2 linked regions of the Drosophila melanogaster genome follow. The protein of the gene in region 1 interacts with the protein of each later gene in a pairwise test. Each region holds a gene or a part of one and is shown in the gene's direction. Other genes may lie near its edges.

Evidence for each region. Proteins that work in one complex are often made in the same cells at the same time.
Region 2: the proteins of ari-2 (region 1) and Ubc10 interact in a two-hybrid assay, tested with the Drosophila melanogaster proteins (2 studies listed by BioGRID).

The regions. Positions count from the first base shown.
Region 1 is NT_033778.4:22,207,955-22,218,983, forward strand, and holds ari-2 (ariadne 2), read left to right. Parts: upstream 1-4,880; 5' UTR 4,881-5,486; coding exon 5,487-5,565; intron 5,566-6,927; coding exon 6,928-8,231; intron 8,232-8,291; coding exon 8,292-8,438; 3' UTR 8,439-9,310; downstream 9,311-11,029. Other genes in the region: Alp2 (alkaline phosphatase 2), read right to left, coding at 1-15; Alp8 (alkaline phosphatase 8), read right to left, coding at 1,048-1,550, 1,609-2,302, 2,365-2,769; CG11291 (uncharacterized protein), read left to right, coding at 3,487-4,229, 4,284-4,467; CG30278 (uncharacterized protein), read right to left, coding at 9,564-10,034, 10,087-10,443; Oatp58Da (organic anion transporting polypeptide 58Da), read right to left, coding at 10,569-10,743, 10,802-11,029.
Region 2 is NT_033778.4:17,787,464-17,791,410, reverse strand, and holds Ubc10 (ubiquitin conjugating enzyme 10), read left to right. Parts: upstream 1-2,000; 5' UTR 2,001-2,308; coding exon 2,309-2,773; 3' UTR 2,774-2,997; downstream 2,998-3,947. Other genes in the region: CG5033 (uncharacterized protein), read right to left, coding at 1-114, 178-1,492, 1,563-1,664; aft (adrift), read right to left, coding at 2,998-3,947.

The DNA.
Region 1 (11,029 bases):
CTGGGAGATGTGCATCTTACAACTGCAGTGATACCGAACGAACTACAACGATCCCGTCTAATTTCCAGGTCTTATATGCCCTGCACCGGATTATTGCATTCAAAACAAGGAATACCTAAAATTAGGTTTATTCCCACTTTATACCCCTTGGACTTATCTCTGCTGGTACTCCCGACTTCTAGGAAGATCAGCTGTAAGTGACATGACCATCCCTCTATAAAACCACTACCCGTTGTAATAGTAATGGGTTATGAGATCACTCGACTTTCGTTTGGCTGAGCTTATTATCCCTAAAGTGCTGAGATCACCTGTGCAAATGTTTATTCCAGCTATCTGAATTAGTTTAGTCACGTTTGCGTTCGTAAAGATATTGGCCATGATGATCCAACTCTCACGAGCCTAATCTACAGGAAACGTGTCGCGTGAACAAGTTGTTGTTGAAATGGTTGCACACTATAAAGAACAACAACTTAGAGCCCGAAACCCCAGAACCCTAAACCAAAATTTCTCTTTTTGAATTGGTTGATGAAATTATCGAAAATATTATTCAACATATTGGATATAGTTCAGATTGCATAAAACGTTTTACACGCGTCTAAATGTAGACTCATATAAGATAAATGTTATCTTAACTGTCGTCTTTTCGTGCCATATTCTCAGATAGCTTAACTGTCTCCGAAAAATCTCAGTTTATATTTACACAATCCTTAAGTCATTAAGGTTTATGGTTATAAGGGGTAATTCAGCCAATAGGCTGGCTACCAGTTCAAAAGCATATGGCAACACTCGCCATAGTTTAATTTTTGAACCCAAGCCTACAAAGATCTGAAGGTTATATTTTGGGGTTATATTTTGTCTATGTCTTCATTGGCAATATTGATTAAAATCTCTTTCCATGGACCAGGTTTTCCATAGGGCTTTTCAAGACTACCCATTCTAGTATCTTAATTAATTAATTCAAAACATACACACATTCATTATGTGTGCTACATTTTTATTACAGAAAGAAGTTGTTGGCGAACATTGAAAACAGATTTTTCTGCCTTCTTAGTTGTCGCAGACCTGCTTTCCGCTTCCAATGCACGCAGCATATGCCATCAGATGGGGAATGGTGCTCTGCTGCATCACTCCGGTGAAGAGGTGACTCTGAGGTCCGGAGGCGAATATGCCCACGTCCTCGCCGGAGTGGACGCCCTGATCCTTGGGAATGTAGCTGGGGGTGATGGCGTCGTCCGAGCCAAGGATATCGTCCAAAGGAATGCGCTGTCCGTTCTCATCCAGATACTGATTGGGTCCAGCTGCATAGTTCAGAACCGAGTACTGCACTCCGTTGATGTCGGTGTCATGTTGATTGATTCCCAGGATGGGTGTTCCTCTGCCAGGATAGCCGGCTATGCTGACGGCGTGTCCGTGATCAGCGGTCACCACAATTAAAGTGTCCTCGATGTCCGTCATGTCACGGGCCAACTGAATGGCCTTCTCGAATTCCAGGGCCTCATCCAGAGCATAGCCAGCTTTGGTGTAGTGGTTGCCATAGTCAATTAGACCACCTACAAATATTTCGGAATATAAATACTTAATAAAAAGATTATTTCGTGAAAAACCCACCTTCAATGAACGCAAAGTATCCGTGTTCCTTGTTCTGGCTGAGCTTCTTGATGGTCACCTCAGTGAGTTCGGAGAGGGTTGGCTGGTAGGTGTCATCAGCCTCCAAGTGGAAGTTCATTAGCTTGGACTGGAAGAGACCAATGACACTGGACACTGCTGACACGTTCAGTTTAAGCAGCTGATTGCGATTGGTGACCAAGACGCCTCCATCGTGGAGTCCCTGCCAGCGGGAAAGCAGATTCACTCCGTCGGATCGCTCACCAGGGTTTCCGTGAGAATCAACGATGGAGTTGGGGAGGAACTTGCCCATTCCGCCGCCGAACATGACCTCGAAGTTCTTGCCGGGCGTCTGGGTGACAAGCTGGGTGGCCATGTCAATGCAGGAATTGGCATCCACACCATAGCTGGTCACATCCGTGTCGCATTCCCACATGCGGTTGGCTGTCTTTGCATATGCTCCCGAAGGACTGGCGTGGGTCAGGGTGGTGGTGGTCACAATACCAGTGGACTTTCCAGCATTCTGGGCCCACTCGGCGATGGAGGTCAGGCGGTTCGCGGGATCCTGGCTGGCGGTGCAGTTATTGTATTCCACTGCTGCACTTACTCCGATATTGACGATGTTGGTCTTTACGCCGCACAAATACGCGGTGGCAGTGCAGGCGGAGTCGGGCACTTGGGCATTGGAGCAGTAGGTCTGCAGGGATAATGTTTCGTCTTAGCTAGTTTATAGTTACCAGTTAGTTAACCACAACTCACCCTGCTCAAACCCGTGTAGGGGAATCGCTCGAAGCTCAGGGAGGATTCCTCACCGGTGTTTCCTTGTCGTTGTCCTTTCAGGATGCGAGCAGCTGCAACGGTGGAGAGAGGCATGCCATCTCCGAGGAACATAATAATGTTCTTGGCCTTCTGGGAATTGGGTTGTGGTAGTTGTAGCCTCTTGGTGATCTCCTCGTCGGCGATGTTGTACCAGTACTGGGGATCCATCTCCTCCGGGGGAGTGTACTTTTCGGTAGCCACATCCGTGGAAAACTTCAACTTATTCGCTGCCTGTCCTGTCAACTCCAGAACGTTGTGCACCTCCTGTACTCCACACAGTGCTGTTCCGGCCAAGGCCAGAAGGAGCAGGATTGGGAGTACTAACTGCCGCTGGGAGGAACCCATATCTAATTGCTCTGCTGCTGATGAAATATCACTTACTACACCGAATTTACCGAAAAGTACGGACTTATATACCTTGATTACTGTGCTCCCAGACAAAGATGCCTAAATTTAGGTTTATGGTCCTCTGGGCATATCTCGTCTGGAATGTCGTATCTTTCATAATATCAGCTCTGTCTAGCATGGTGCCCAGTTAGGTAGGCAAGGAAAGGGTATAAGCTATTCAACTATCATACCCCGTTTTCCACCATCTAAAGCGTATCTTTTGGTTCGTTGGGATCCATTATTTGACCTTCGTTACTTCAAAAGCTACAAATACGCTGCCCATTTGTCTTTCTCATGATTCCCAAAATGGTAGACTCACCTTTGCAAAGAACTTACCGAGCATTCTGAACCATTTCAGTCACGTTTGGGGTTATAAAGATCTTTAAGAGTATTATGATCCTAATCTTAGTAGAACGTGTAGCTAACTTATCACAGCATTTTTGCGCTTTCACTCTGGGTGGTATTTTCGACAGCATCTCGTGGCCGAAGATTTTATTAGAAAGAAAACATTTTTATATAGTATCACTTTACTTTTGCCAAATAAACTTTTTCGTATTCCTTGCTATTTTATGATACTCTTATATGGCAATATGAAATTTTTAATCTTTGAAAATAATGTCATAAAGTACTCAAAATTTTAATATTTCACATTCTAAATTTAATCAAAATTGTATTATGTTAAGGCGCAGTCTAAGCCATCTGGACAAGCTGCCGAAGGCAAAGGTGGCCGAATGGCTGGCCGGGATCGACACCATTATTTGCAGCACGGATGGGGTGCTGTGGCAGGAGAATACCCCCATTGAGGGCTCTGTAGAGGCATTCAATGCCATAATTTCAAAGGGAAAGCGATGTCTCATAGCCACCAACGAGTGCTGCCTAACAAACAAGGATCTGTTCCAGAAGGCCAAGTGCCTGGGCTTCAATGTCAAGGAGCAGGACATTTTCAGCTCGTCGGGTGCCATTGCGAGTTACCTTAGCGACCGGAAGTTTAAGAAGAAAATCCTCGTTTTGGGTGGTGACGGTATCCGCAAAGATCTGAAAGAGGCCGGATTCTGTTCCGTGGTAAACGATCTGCAGCCAAATGACCAGAAAAAAATCGACTTCGTCAGGAGCTTAGTTCTCGATCCGGATGTGGGAGCTGTTTTGGTGGCCAGAGACGACAACATGATAGCGAACGAGTTGCTTGTGGCCTGCAACTATCTTCAAAATCCCAAAGTCTTGTTCCTTACCACTTGCATTGATGGATTCCAGCCATTTGGGAAAAAGAGGATCCCAGATGCCGGATCTCTGGCCTCTGCCATCGAGATAATTGTACAACGCAAGCCTATCGTTTTGGGCAAACCGAATCAGCGGATTTTGGGCAAGTTGATGAAGTCTGGCGAAATAAAGCCCGAAAAGACGCTTGTCATTGGAAACTCGTAAGTTCAATGATTACTTTTATTGAGGATCATACTTTATCCTCTTTCCTTTAGGCTTAAATCAGACATTTTATTTGCAAGTATATGTGGTTTCCAATCATTATTGGTGGGCTGCGATAACGGAGCGATCGAAAAAGCCGAGAAAATTAAAAAAGAGGGAGATGAGAAGAAAATGAAACTTGTTCCAGATGCTTTTCTCTCCGGTCTTGCTTCTTTTGGGGAGTATTTATGCATCTAGGTGATGTCGGGCAAGAAAAGCGATTTCCATATCCAAAAAACATACCCAGCTGACCAAAAAGTAATTTAGATCATATTCAAAATTCAAACTAAGCCGCTCAAAAGCTGAACAGCTGTTTTGTTTCTGAGCACTCCTGTGTGCTAAATGATTTCGGTATTTTGGCTTTTAGCACAAGTCGCGAGTCAGTGCTACCAGTATATTTGTAAATTTTTAGTTTTAAAATTTGTAATCTAAAATAGTAAAGCAAATTGCCAGTTTTCTGTTGAAACTAATAGTTTTGCATCAATAATCGCGAAGAAAAAGTTGAATTAATGTGATAATAAAAAAATACATGTTGTTGGTATATTTTTGGTATTTGATTTGATTGCTTCGTGGTCGCACTGAAAGAAGAAGAGTAATAAAACATCGAACTATCGAAGAACGATATGCCCCGATAGGTTCGGACAAGACAAAGAACAAAATGTTCTCTGCAAAAGCTGTGCTCGCTTAAAAACGCAAAAAGTCAGTGCATCTAGTGCATTGTCAGTGGTGCATAAGATTGTTCTATAAATAGCGAAAAATGAAAATAAACTGCAGGCGAAGTAGAAAAAACACCTTGAGTTGAGTGCAACGGCTGTGCGAGTGTGTGTGCGTGAGAGCGAGAGTGCGCTCGTGTGTGTGTGTACACATGCATGTTGATAAACGAAAATAAAACAAGGGACCGCCCCCCGCCGTAGAATAGCCACCCCGCAAAGTTCATCACCCTAACCAGAATCGGTGGCACTGCATCGCGCTAAATCGGCCACTTTCCATTATCCGCATCCACCGCCCCTCCCGCTCTCTGGGTCCATCATCCACCTCCTGCGAAAACAACAACAGCAACCACCAGCGCCCTTACAACAACTGTTACAAAAGAGCAAGAGAGAAGACACCCCGCACTCACACTCACACGGAAGCAGTGAGTGTCCTCGCCAGAAACTCGAATTCCCAACCAAACATCCCGAATCTGAGGCCCAAATCTTAAGCGCCAATCCGCCGGAATGGACTCGGACATCGAAATGGATATGGAATCGGACAACGACGGGGAGTACGACGACGACTACGACTACTACAACACAGGTAAGTGGAAACTAGTACCTGATCTAGAGGGGCACTTCCCCCTGACAACAATCGGCCATCGATTTAACTGTGGCCAAATTAGGGGTACGAGTGTATCTGTGAGGAAGTACACACACACATGTCGGGCTCTTGGTTTGGTTATTCACCTTTTCGGAAGGAGGCCCGCAAGACCTGGGAATTTGCATTCAGCACTTGACATTCGCCTTGGGTTCCATGACCAAACCCCACACCCCCCATTTGATCTCCGCCCTTCTTCGCTGACCATGAAGCTTAAATTATGGAATTGAACTTGAAACAAACACACACGCACGTAGCTGCACGGCGAGAAAATTGCACTGTGTAATAGGATAAATGTTTAGTTTTAAAATGTCAAATCTAGGCCAAACTAAATGATTACATTTGGTACATTTCCCAAAGCAATTCTAATGATGATTTGATACCTCAATTTAGAGAATTATGTGATAGGGCTTGATTTTCAAATGGTTTTATAACATGAACTCAAATCAATATTGATTTAAAAGGGGCAAAATAATATAAGAATATTACTAAAGACTTGATTTCTCTCAGTGCATGGGCAAGTACAATTGGTAGTTGCGAGTTGGGACTGATTGCGAGGCTTGTGTTTTGTGGCTGGCTTCATTATTGCCCGCCACTCTGCTCACGCTCTTCGTAGCTCCACAACCCACACAAGCACACATTAACACACACACCACGAACACCAGCTCAGGTGCGTGCTCAAGTACGCAGTTGCATTCTGTTGTGTGCCGCTGTTCCGTCAACTCGGTCTCCGCTTCTTGACCTGTCCCTTATTGTTCCGACCTGGCCAAGACGCCCCCTAACTCAACCTTCAATCGGATACCTCATATCGGTAACATCGTAACGTCGAGCACTTCTATGGCAGCCTTGTCGCGCGGTTGTTTTCTCGAATTAGCCAATGTGACTAACAAAATGCAAACATGATTACCGGCTGCATACACTGTAATCCCTTTTGATCCATACATGTCAGATTAACATAGAAGATATTCCCAAAGTAATAATGTTTCGTCGGTTTCAACCGATCAATGTAAGTCAGCCATTGCTTAACTTACAAACTCAACTCAACCTTCGTAACTCTGGAACCAGTTTTGTACAATAAGGGATTAAAAGTGCCCTATTGTATATAACTGCAACTGCTAACTCAGGGTTCGTTTGAAATCCACCCTTGCTGTCTTTCAGTCTGATTTTGGTTTAAAATACAATCAGTTAGCTTAAATAACCAAAAGAAAAAGTGGAAACTGTCCTATCAAAGCATAATAGATTTATGATTTATAAATGTTATAAAGTTCAATTATATTATAATACTAATATCCTTTTCTTCTTCAGGCGAGGACTGCGATGTGGAGCGTCTGGATCCGAAGCGGGCCGACCCGGAGTACTTTGAGTACGAGTGCCTAACCGTCGAGGACATCGAGAAGCTGCTGAACGAGCGCGTGGAGAAGCTGAACACCATCCTGCAGATCACACCCTCGCTGGCCAAGGTGCTGCTGCTGGAGCACCAGTGGAACAATGTGGCCGTCGTTGAAAAGTACCGCCAGGACGCCAATGCACTGCTGGTGACGGCGCGAATCAAGCCGCCATCGGTGGCAGTGACGGATACGGCTTCGACGAGTGCAGCGGCGGCCAGTGCCCAACTGCTCCGACTGGGGAGCAGCGGGTACAAGACGACGGCATCGGCGACACCACAGTACCGCAGCCAGATGTGTCCCGTTTGTGCCAGCTCGCAGCTGGGCGACAAGTTCTACAGCCTGGCGTGTGGGCACTCGTTTTGCAAGGACTGCTGGACCATATACTTCGAGACGCAGATCTTCCAGGGAATCTCCACGCAGATCGGCTGCATGGCCCAGATGTGTAATGTTAGGGTGCCCGAGGACTTGGTGCTGACGCTGGTCACGCGACCCGTTATGCGGGACAAGTACCAGCAGTTTGCATTTAAGGACTACGTCAAGTCACACCCGGAACTCCGCTTCTGTCCCGGGCCCAACTGCCAGATTATTGTGCAATCATCGGAGATCTCCGCCAAACGTGCCATTTGCAAGGCTTGCCACACGGGCTTCTGCTTCCGGTGCGGCATGGACTACCACGCACCCACCGACTGCCAGGTGATCAAGAAGTGGCTGACCAAGTGCGCCGACGACAGCGAAACGGCAAACTACATCAGCGCCCACACCAAAGACTGCCCCAAGTGTCACATCTGCATTGAGAAGAACGGCGGCTGCAACCACATGCAGTGCTTCAACTGCAAGCACGACTTCTGCTGGATGTGCTTGGGCGACTGGAAGACGCACGGCTCCGAGTACTACGAGTGCTCTCGCTACAAGGACAACCCCAACATTGCCAACGAGTCGGTGCACGTGCAGGCGCGCGAGGCGCTGAAGAAGTACCTGCACTACTACGAGCGCTGGGAGAACCACTCCAAGTCTCTGAAACTCGAGCAACAGACGATCGACCGGCTGCGCCAGCGGATCAACTCGAAGGTGATGAACGGCAGCGGCACCTGGATCGACTGGCAATACCTCTTCAACGCGGCGGCACTGCTGGCCAAGTGTCGATACACGCTGCAGTACACCTATCCGTACGCCTATTACATGGAGGCCGGTTCGCGAAAGAATCTCTTTGAGTACCAGCAGGTGAGTCGCAGTTCGGCTATTCTTTAACTGGTTGCCCAATAATGTATTAATTCCGTGCAGGCACAACTGGAGGCCGAAATCGAGAATCTGTCGTGGAAGATAGAGCGCGCCGAGACAACGGACCTGGGTGATCTCGAGAATCAAATGGACATCGCTGAAAAGCGCCGCACCACGCTACTGAAAGACTTCTTCCCAGTGGACGCATAGGCAACCGTCGAGCTTCCAGGGCCACCAGAACGGACAGCCTGTCTTGTTTAGCACAAACACTCTTTGATTGACTGCTGACAGGTCGACGTGACGCGACAGTATAGAGACGCTTATTTAAATTAAATTATACACATATTTACATGTATCCATCTAGTAGTAGGCCCAACGACGTGTAGCTAATTTTTAAATTAAACTAATAATCAAGTGCATATAGACTAGAAAACGTAGCATAGAGCATAGTCGACTACTCGAAGTATAATTACTATAGTTGTGACATTCGAAATCACTCAAAATGATCGGTGTAACTGCAATACAACGCCTTGCGCAGAACGTTAACGATATACAGTATCTATAGCTAAAGCCCTAGCGATACCGATACCGGTAGCTATACCATAACTATAAAACTAACTTTAAATCTAGCAACTGACTAACTGACAAACCAGACGCATTTCAGTGGCCAAGTGTTCCAACAGTTTTCCAAAAACTAGCCCAAACGACCCGATGAAATGCAGAAACAGTAACAATTCTAAATGTATAGCGCCGCAAGTCAAGCAATTATAGATCAAAGACCGCCTAAGCAGATCGGCTCATCGGTTAGACCCTAAGTTTTAAACCTTGTATTAGCCCCGCGTGAACAGCATCAAGTATTCGCAATCTGTATCTCGTAACTAATCGCAGCACATCAATCGAACGCAAAAGTCTTAAGTAAGAACGAAGATAGATACTCCCCGTCCCCGATCCCGTTCCTTTTGATTCTCACTCGATTCTCGATTAACTTTGTAAGCTGAATCATAAATTATATTCTAGGATTACGCTATGTATGTATGCTTATGCGACTGAATTTGAATTAAATTTACACTAGATATACAACTATTCAACTGACTTTTCGACTGTGGGCTGCAAGCTTACGATTTGGGTCTTGTGCTTAAAGCTTTGGAGAAGCTCATACGAAGCTTGGATTGAGTGTTTTAAGGATAAGCTTTCACTCAAGTTTCAAGTTTGGGTTTTGAGCCGAGTTTATTTTTTTTAGTGATTGAGTACGAGCTATATTCCAACTTATCTTCCTTGATTTCGTTGTTATTCAGATTGGATGTGCTTAGTTAGTCTTCGATGATGTTTTTGCTATTATTTTTTACCCTTTTTATTGCCGAACAGTGAACTCTTTCTGCTGCTCTTCCGGCTCTTTCGGCTCTTCCGGCTCTTCCTGCTCATCCGACTCATCCTAACATCAGGCGCCAAAGGTGGTTTCTGCTTCGCAAGTTGGCTGGCTAAGGTGAACAACCGGCACTCGGAATGCTCCTTCAGCAGACTGTTGGCGAACTTCTTGACTCCCGATATCTTGGTCACCCTCACGTTGTTCATATTTTCCACTTTCTTGGCGGGATAGACCTCCACTTCGCAGCAGTTCTTGATCAGCAGCAGGTCGCTGTTGTTTGTGATGGGATACCGGTAGTAAAGTTCATTTCCGCAGTCCAGGCAATTCTTTTTTGTGCGTCTCAGCTGGAATTTCATCGGGAAGCACCGACCTACTATGGTGTTATTGTCCAGGATAACAGAATGTTTGTATGTGGGCTTGGGAAGGGGTCGCTTGGTCCACTGTGAAAGAAAAATTTAAGTAAGGAACTTGTATCCTTGAATTACCACAGACCTCATTCAGATGCAAATAGGTTTTGAGTGGCCGGCATTGCGCTGAGCAGAGATTAGGGTGCAGATTCTGCTCCTGGGCCACGCACATGGTGCAGCATCGCAGCTTGTCCTTGTCGGATTCGAGAAGCGGACGTCCCTTGCTGCACTCCGCCCGGATGTTGATCTCCTGACGCACAGGTCCATCCGGTTCAATGACCGCCTTAACAACCTCCGCCTGGGGCTCAGGCAAGTCTGCTGCAGGCGGTGATACCCTGTAATCGATGCATGGTCCGCAGGTGGATTCGAAGCACTTCTTGCATGGACCGTCAACCCAATTTTTTTTTATCCACCGCCTACAACTGTTCTCCGGAGCGGACATTTTGAAGGCCGTACAATTTTTTAGCCGGGAAACGAGTAATTTTGAAATGACATGGAATAATCTGATAAATTGAAGCTTTACTCTAAGCTCGTTTATTTAGCTTAACAAATAATTACATTTTAATTCTACTCGGGGTTTGAATCGATTGTTTTCATTTCAACCTCCTTGTTTTTTAAACTGTCTTTGGGTGACGACTCCTCTTCATCGAAAATTTTGAGATTCTTTGCGTGATACCACACTGCAATATTCAAGAAACCGCCCAAAAATATGAAAAATGCCGCCGAAAGATTTAAAGCATATCTGAAAAGAAAATGGGATTACTAGGAATTTTCAGATTTCAGTCTATAAGATGACGCACCTCATTGATTTTGTGTCATAGAGCCAACAGTTTCCCTTGTTGGAGCATGTCTTGCCCCACACCAAACAGTAGTTGTCTATCAGCCAGCCGAAGAAAATCGGACTGGGAATGAAGCCCAGCAGAGAAGCCGCCATGGAACCCAATCCCAGGGCGAAGGTCTTCTCATCTGGAGGCATGCAACGCAGGGCTAGGAGCAGATTCGTCGATTTACTAGATGCTCCCACGAGT
Region 2 (3,947 bases), 4.4 Mb from region 1:
TGCCAGTGGCCACCGCAATAATAGACAGCTTGGGATTTGGACACCAAGCCACACAGCGTACCACTTCGTCGGTCTCGATTGTGCGAATGCAACGACCTGTTGCAATTTCCCAAACTGTGAGGTGAGATGGATTAGTAAGAAGATATCTAAAAGGTTGTCAATTAAATTAGTACTTACTCTTGACGGTTTTATCATCCGAACCGGAGACGAGGTACTCTCCCTTGGGCTCCACACTAACAGACCGCACCAGATCGGTGTGGCCACGGTAAACCATACTCTCCACCGTGGGAAAGGGTTGCAGGTCACGCGGCGAGGGCAACTTGGGGATAAGGTACTCGGCATCGATGTTCAGCTTGACACGCTTTGCACGGGGACACAGGTAAAGATCCAGGCAACGAAGGAAACGCTCCCGAAGGTATCTCGAGTATGCGGGCACCTCCCTCAGCGACTTGAACTTCTGTGGCATGAAGTGCAGCTTGCGCTTGTGTGGCTCGTCCTTTAGTTTAAGCCACTCCTTGGTCTCCTTGGCATCGAAAAGATACTCTGGCGGTGGATTGTAGGACTCGGCATGACCGGGAAGGTCGCGTTTGGGCGCAGAGACTGGATCGTGGATGCGGCGCATGTGTTCCCGACTGGTGTCCGTTTCCCACAGCATGTAGAACTTGGGACCGCGCTTGGCCTGCTTCTCGCGTTCCACTTCCTCAGTGGTCTTCATCCAGCCCATTTTGAGGGCGTGCACCATGCGAGAGACGCGCTTTTTCTCGGAAACTGAGGGCAGGAAAGAGCGTTTGTGGTCGGGTACGTTCTTGATGGGCATCTTTTCCACCTCCGATGTGAACCATTCGATCCAGGGCTCATACTCTTCGTGATCCTTGTTGGGTATGCGACCCGAAACGATGCGCTTGATCAGAGCAATGTCCTCGTCTGTTAGGCGCACATCCTGACCGGTAAGTGGATCCTTGACGGTACGCCAAAAGTCTGGGTCCTCGATCTTACGCAGGAACTCATCAATTTGATCTCCTTGTGGTGGTTTAATAATCTTCTTGGCATCCCAGTCGTAACCGATGTGCTTGTATTCGTCGTACCAGTGCATGGGTATGTTGCCTACAGTATTTCTTATGTCCTCCTCGTCGGAGGTATCTGAATCCTGATACTCAGGCTTCGAGCTATCCCGTTTCGGGAGCTCTGCTGTAAGGGCTTTTTTAGACGCGGCACCGCTTCCACTGGGCTTATCGTCTGTTTGCTTTGACTTGGAATCCTTCTCCTCATCTTCCACTTCCTCTCCATCAGTGCTTTCCTCCTCTTCATTATCCTCTTCATCACTACTTTCTTCATCTTCCTCAGCTGATGAAGATTGCTTTCTGCCCAAGTAGTTGCCCTCCTCATCGCTCTCGAACTGCAGTTCCTCACTGGAATCCGAGTGGTATTCCTGGTCTATGCCCTCGTCATCTGTTGAATCTTCGCCGGGATCTTTTACAGCTTGCAGCAGGTCCTTAAAGAGCACAAACACACATGCAGGTCATTTTGAAATGACTTTTTATATCACTGTCAATGGGTCTTACCTCCTCCTCCTCCTCGTTTTCGGAAGCCTCGGAACTGGCCACCACTTCATTTGTGGGTTCCGAATCCTTTCCTCTGCGTTTCAGAGCTAGTTTTTTGGTCATTTTGAGGTAAAAACAAAACTAACGCGGCGCACGTGTTGCAGTCAGCGATAGCGATGGGAATCGCCTGAAACGGTTGCCTATCGATTGGCTTGCCGCCACTGCTGCTGGTAATCGGTTACAAATCCATTTGGAAACAGCAACCCTTTTATTTTCATTTGTTACCTCTCTTAAAATATACATCTATAATAAATACTTTCCAATAAAGATTTATTTAGTATTAAACATAATATTACAGCCGTTGCAAGTTGCAAAATCAAGACAAAGTTATACATGACCAATGTATATGTATACCAATTGCAGCGCCGTTGCGAGCAAGTCTGCAAAATACCCTAACGCTAATTGGAAGATTCTTCAACGAACCATTTTCAGCGAAATTCGCAGACTTACGTGCGGATTTTTTTGGGCCAGTGCGAAAACCAAAGGTGACACCCCGCAACTGGAGCACTAGGAGCTCACCAACAACGAAACACCGGCGGCTGAACGAGAGTATTACATATCCGGAAGACAAAACCATCGATTTGCAGCTCACACAAGGGCAAACAAAAGTGCACACGCACACATTGGCAAGGTGGCCCCCTCCTCTTTCCGTTCCACACACACCTACGCACACACCAGCATAAGAGAACCCACACATAGACATCACGATGACTGCGCCGCGACGCCTGCGAAAAGAATTGAGCGATTTGCAGGGCAACGCACTGAAGTCCTTCCGGGACATTAAGGCGGACGATGACAACCTGCTGCGCTGGACGGGATTGATTGTCCCGGACAATCCGCCGTACAACAAGGGCGCCTTCCGCATCGAGATCAACTTTCCGGCGGAGTATCCTTTCAAGCCGCCCAAGATTAACTTTAAGACACGCATCTACCATCCAAACATCGATGAGAAGGGCCAGGTGTGCTTGCCCATTATCAGTACGGAGAACTGGAAACCGGCCACACGCACCGACCAGGTCGTGCAGGCACTGGTGGACTTAATCAACGACCCTGAGCCGGAGCATCCGCTGCGGGCGGAGTTGGCCGAGGAGTTTCTTAAGGATCGCAAAAAATTCGTGAAAAACGCCGAGGACTACACCAAGAAGCACAGCGAAAAACGTCCGGCCGACTAGCGGATAGGCGGAGGTAGAGCTGGAGGAGGTGGGCCAGTCCACAACCCATGTGTACCCTTACCCCTTAGTCTTGTGATTTTTCTGTTAGTTATTTAATTTTCATTCTTGATCCATGAAAAACTATCCTCAGAAAACATTTAAGCAGATATTTCCCCGGCAGAGTACCTAGTTTTGTAAAAGTAGCACTGTAATTTGATGCAAGTGAGAAATACATGTTCGTTATGTTAAAATACAGCTGCCGACTCTTGGATGGAACCGACATCTGAGTTGGATGTCGGAGCTACGGGCATGGGAAATGATTCCTCGCCCAACATGCTACGGAAGCAGGTCATTACAATGCTGTTGTTGTGCTGAATGAGGGCCTTGCTGAACTGGTTCTTCTGCAGCTCCTTAATGTCCAGCAGGCTGTGAATGGCCCCCGCCTGCTCGTCCTTAAGAAGTTCCAGCACCTGTTCCAAGGCACTGTTAGCCGTATCTTTTAGCTTACTCAACGTGAGAGTTTGCGCTTGATTGCTATTAAAACAACAATCCTGATAAACGCTCTCTATGAGAAATAAGAGCAGCGACGCCGCGTAATGGGTGAGAAACAGGAACTTGTGGAAGACAATGCTGTCGGGCTTCAATTTCTTTACTTCTTCCAGGAGATCAATGAAAAAGCGCTGCTGGGCGGTGTGGAATGCCTCGTCTTCTGTTGGTGGCAGGTAGCATAGTGTCTTGCTTTCCAACTGGCACTTTGGCGCAGACTGCCAGACAGGGTCGAGTTCAAATGTGTCCAGGATGCGAAGGCGCAGAATGAGTATTGGTTCCGAGGCAAACATGCTGCTTTGCAGGCTCTGAACAGGTGCTCCTCGTGAAATGTGAAGATTCAAGGGTGCCGTTCTGTTCTTAACGTATGAATACGGTGTTCTATTGTTAAGACACTTCTCCAGTTGATTAAATTCCCGACGCAAGCAGTAAATCTGCTTGAGAAGGTCACCGTGTTTCAAGGACTCCCTTTCTGTGTAGGAACCGCCATAGACAGGCACTTGGAATCCCAGAGCCTTACTGGTGGCCTCCTTGTCCACGATGCACAGGCTATCTTCTAATGGCTTCACTTTGTATAGACTGTAGTAGGTGTTCGCGACAAGACTGCGCAGGTGATGAAGATGTCTCAGATAATGACGATCATTGGACT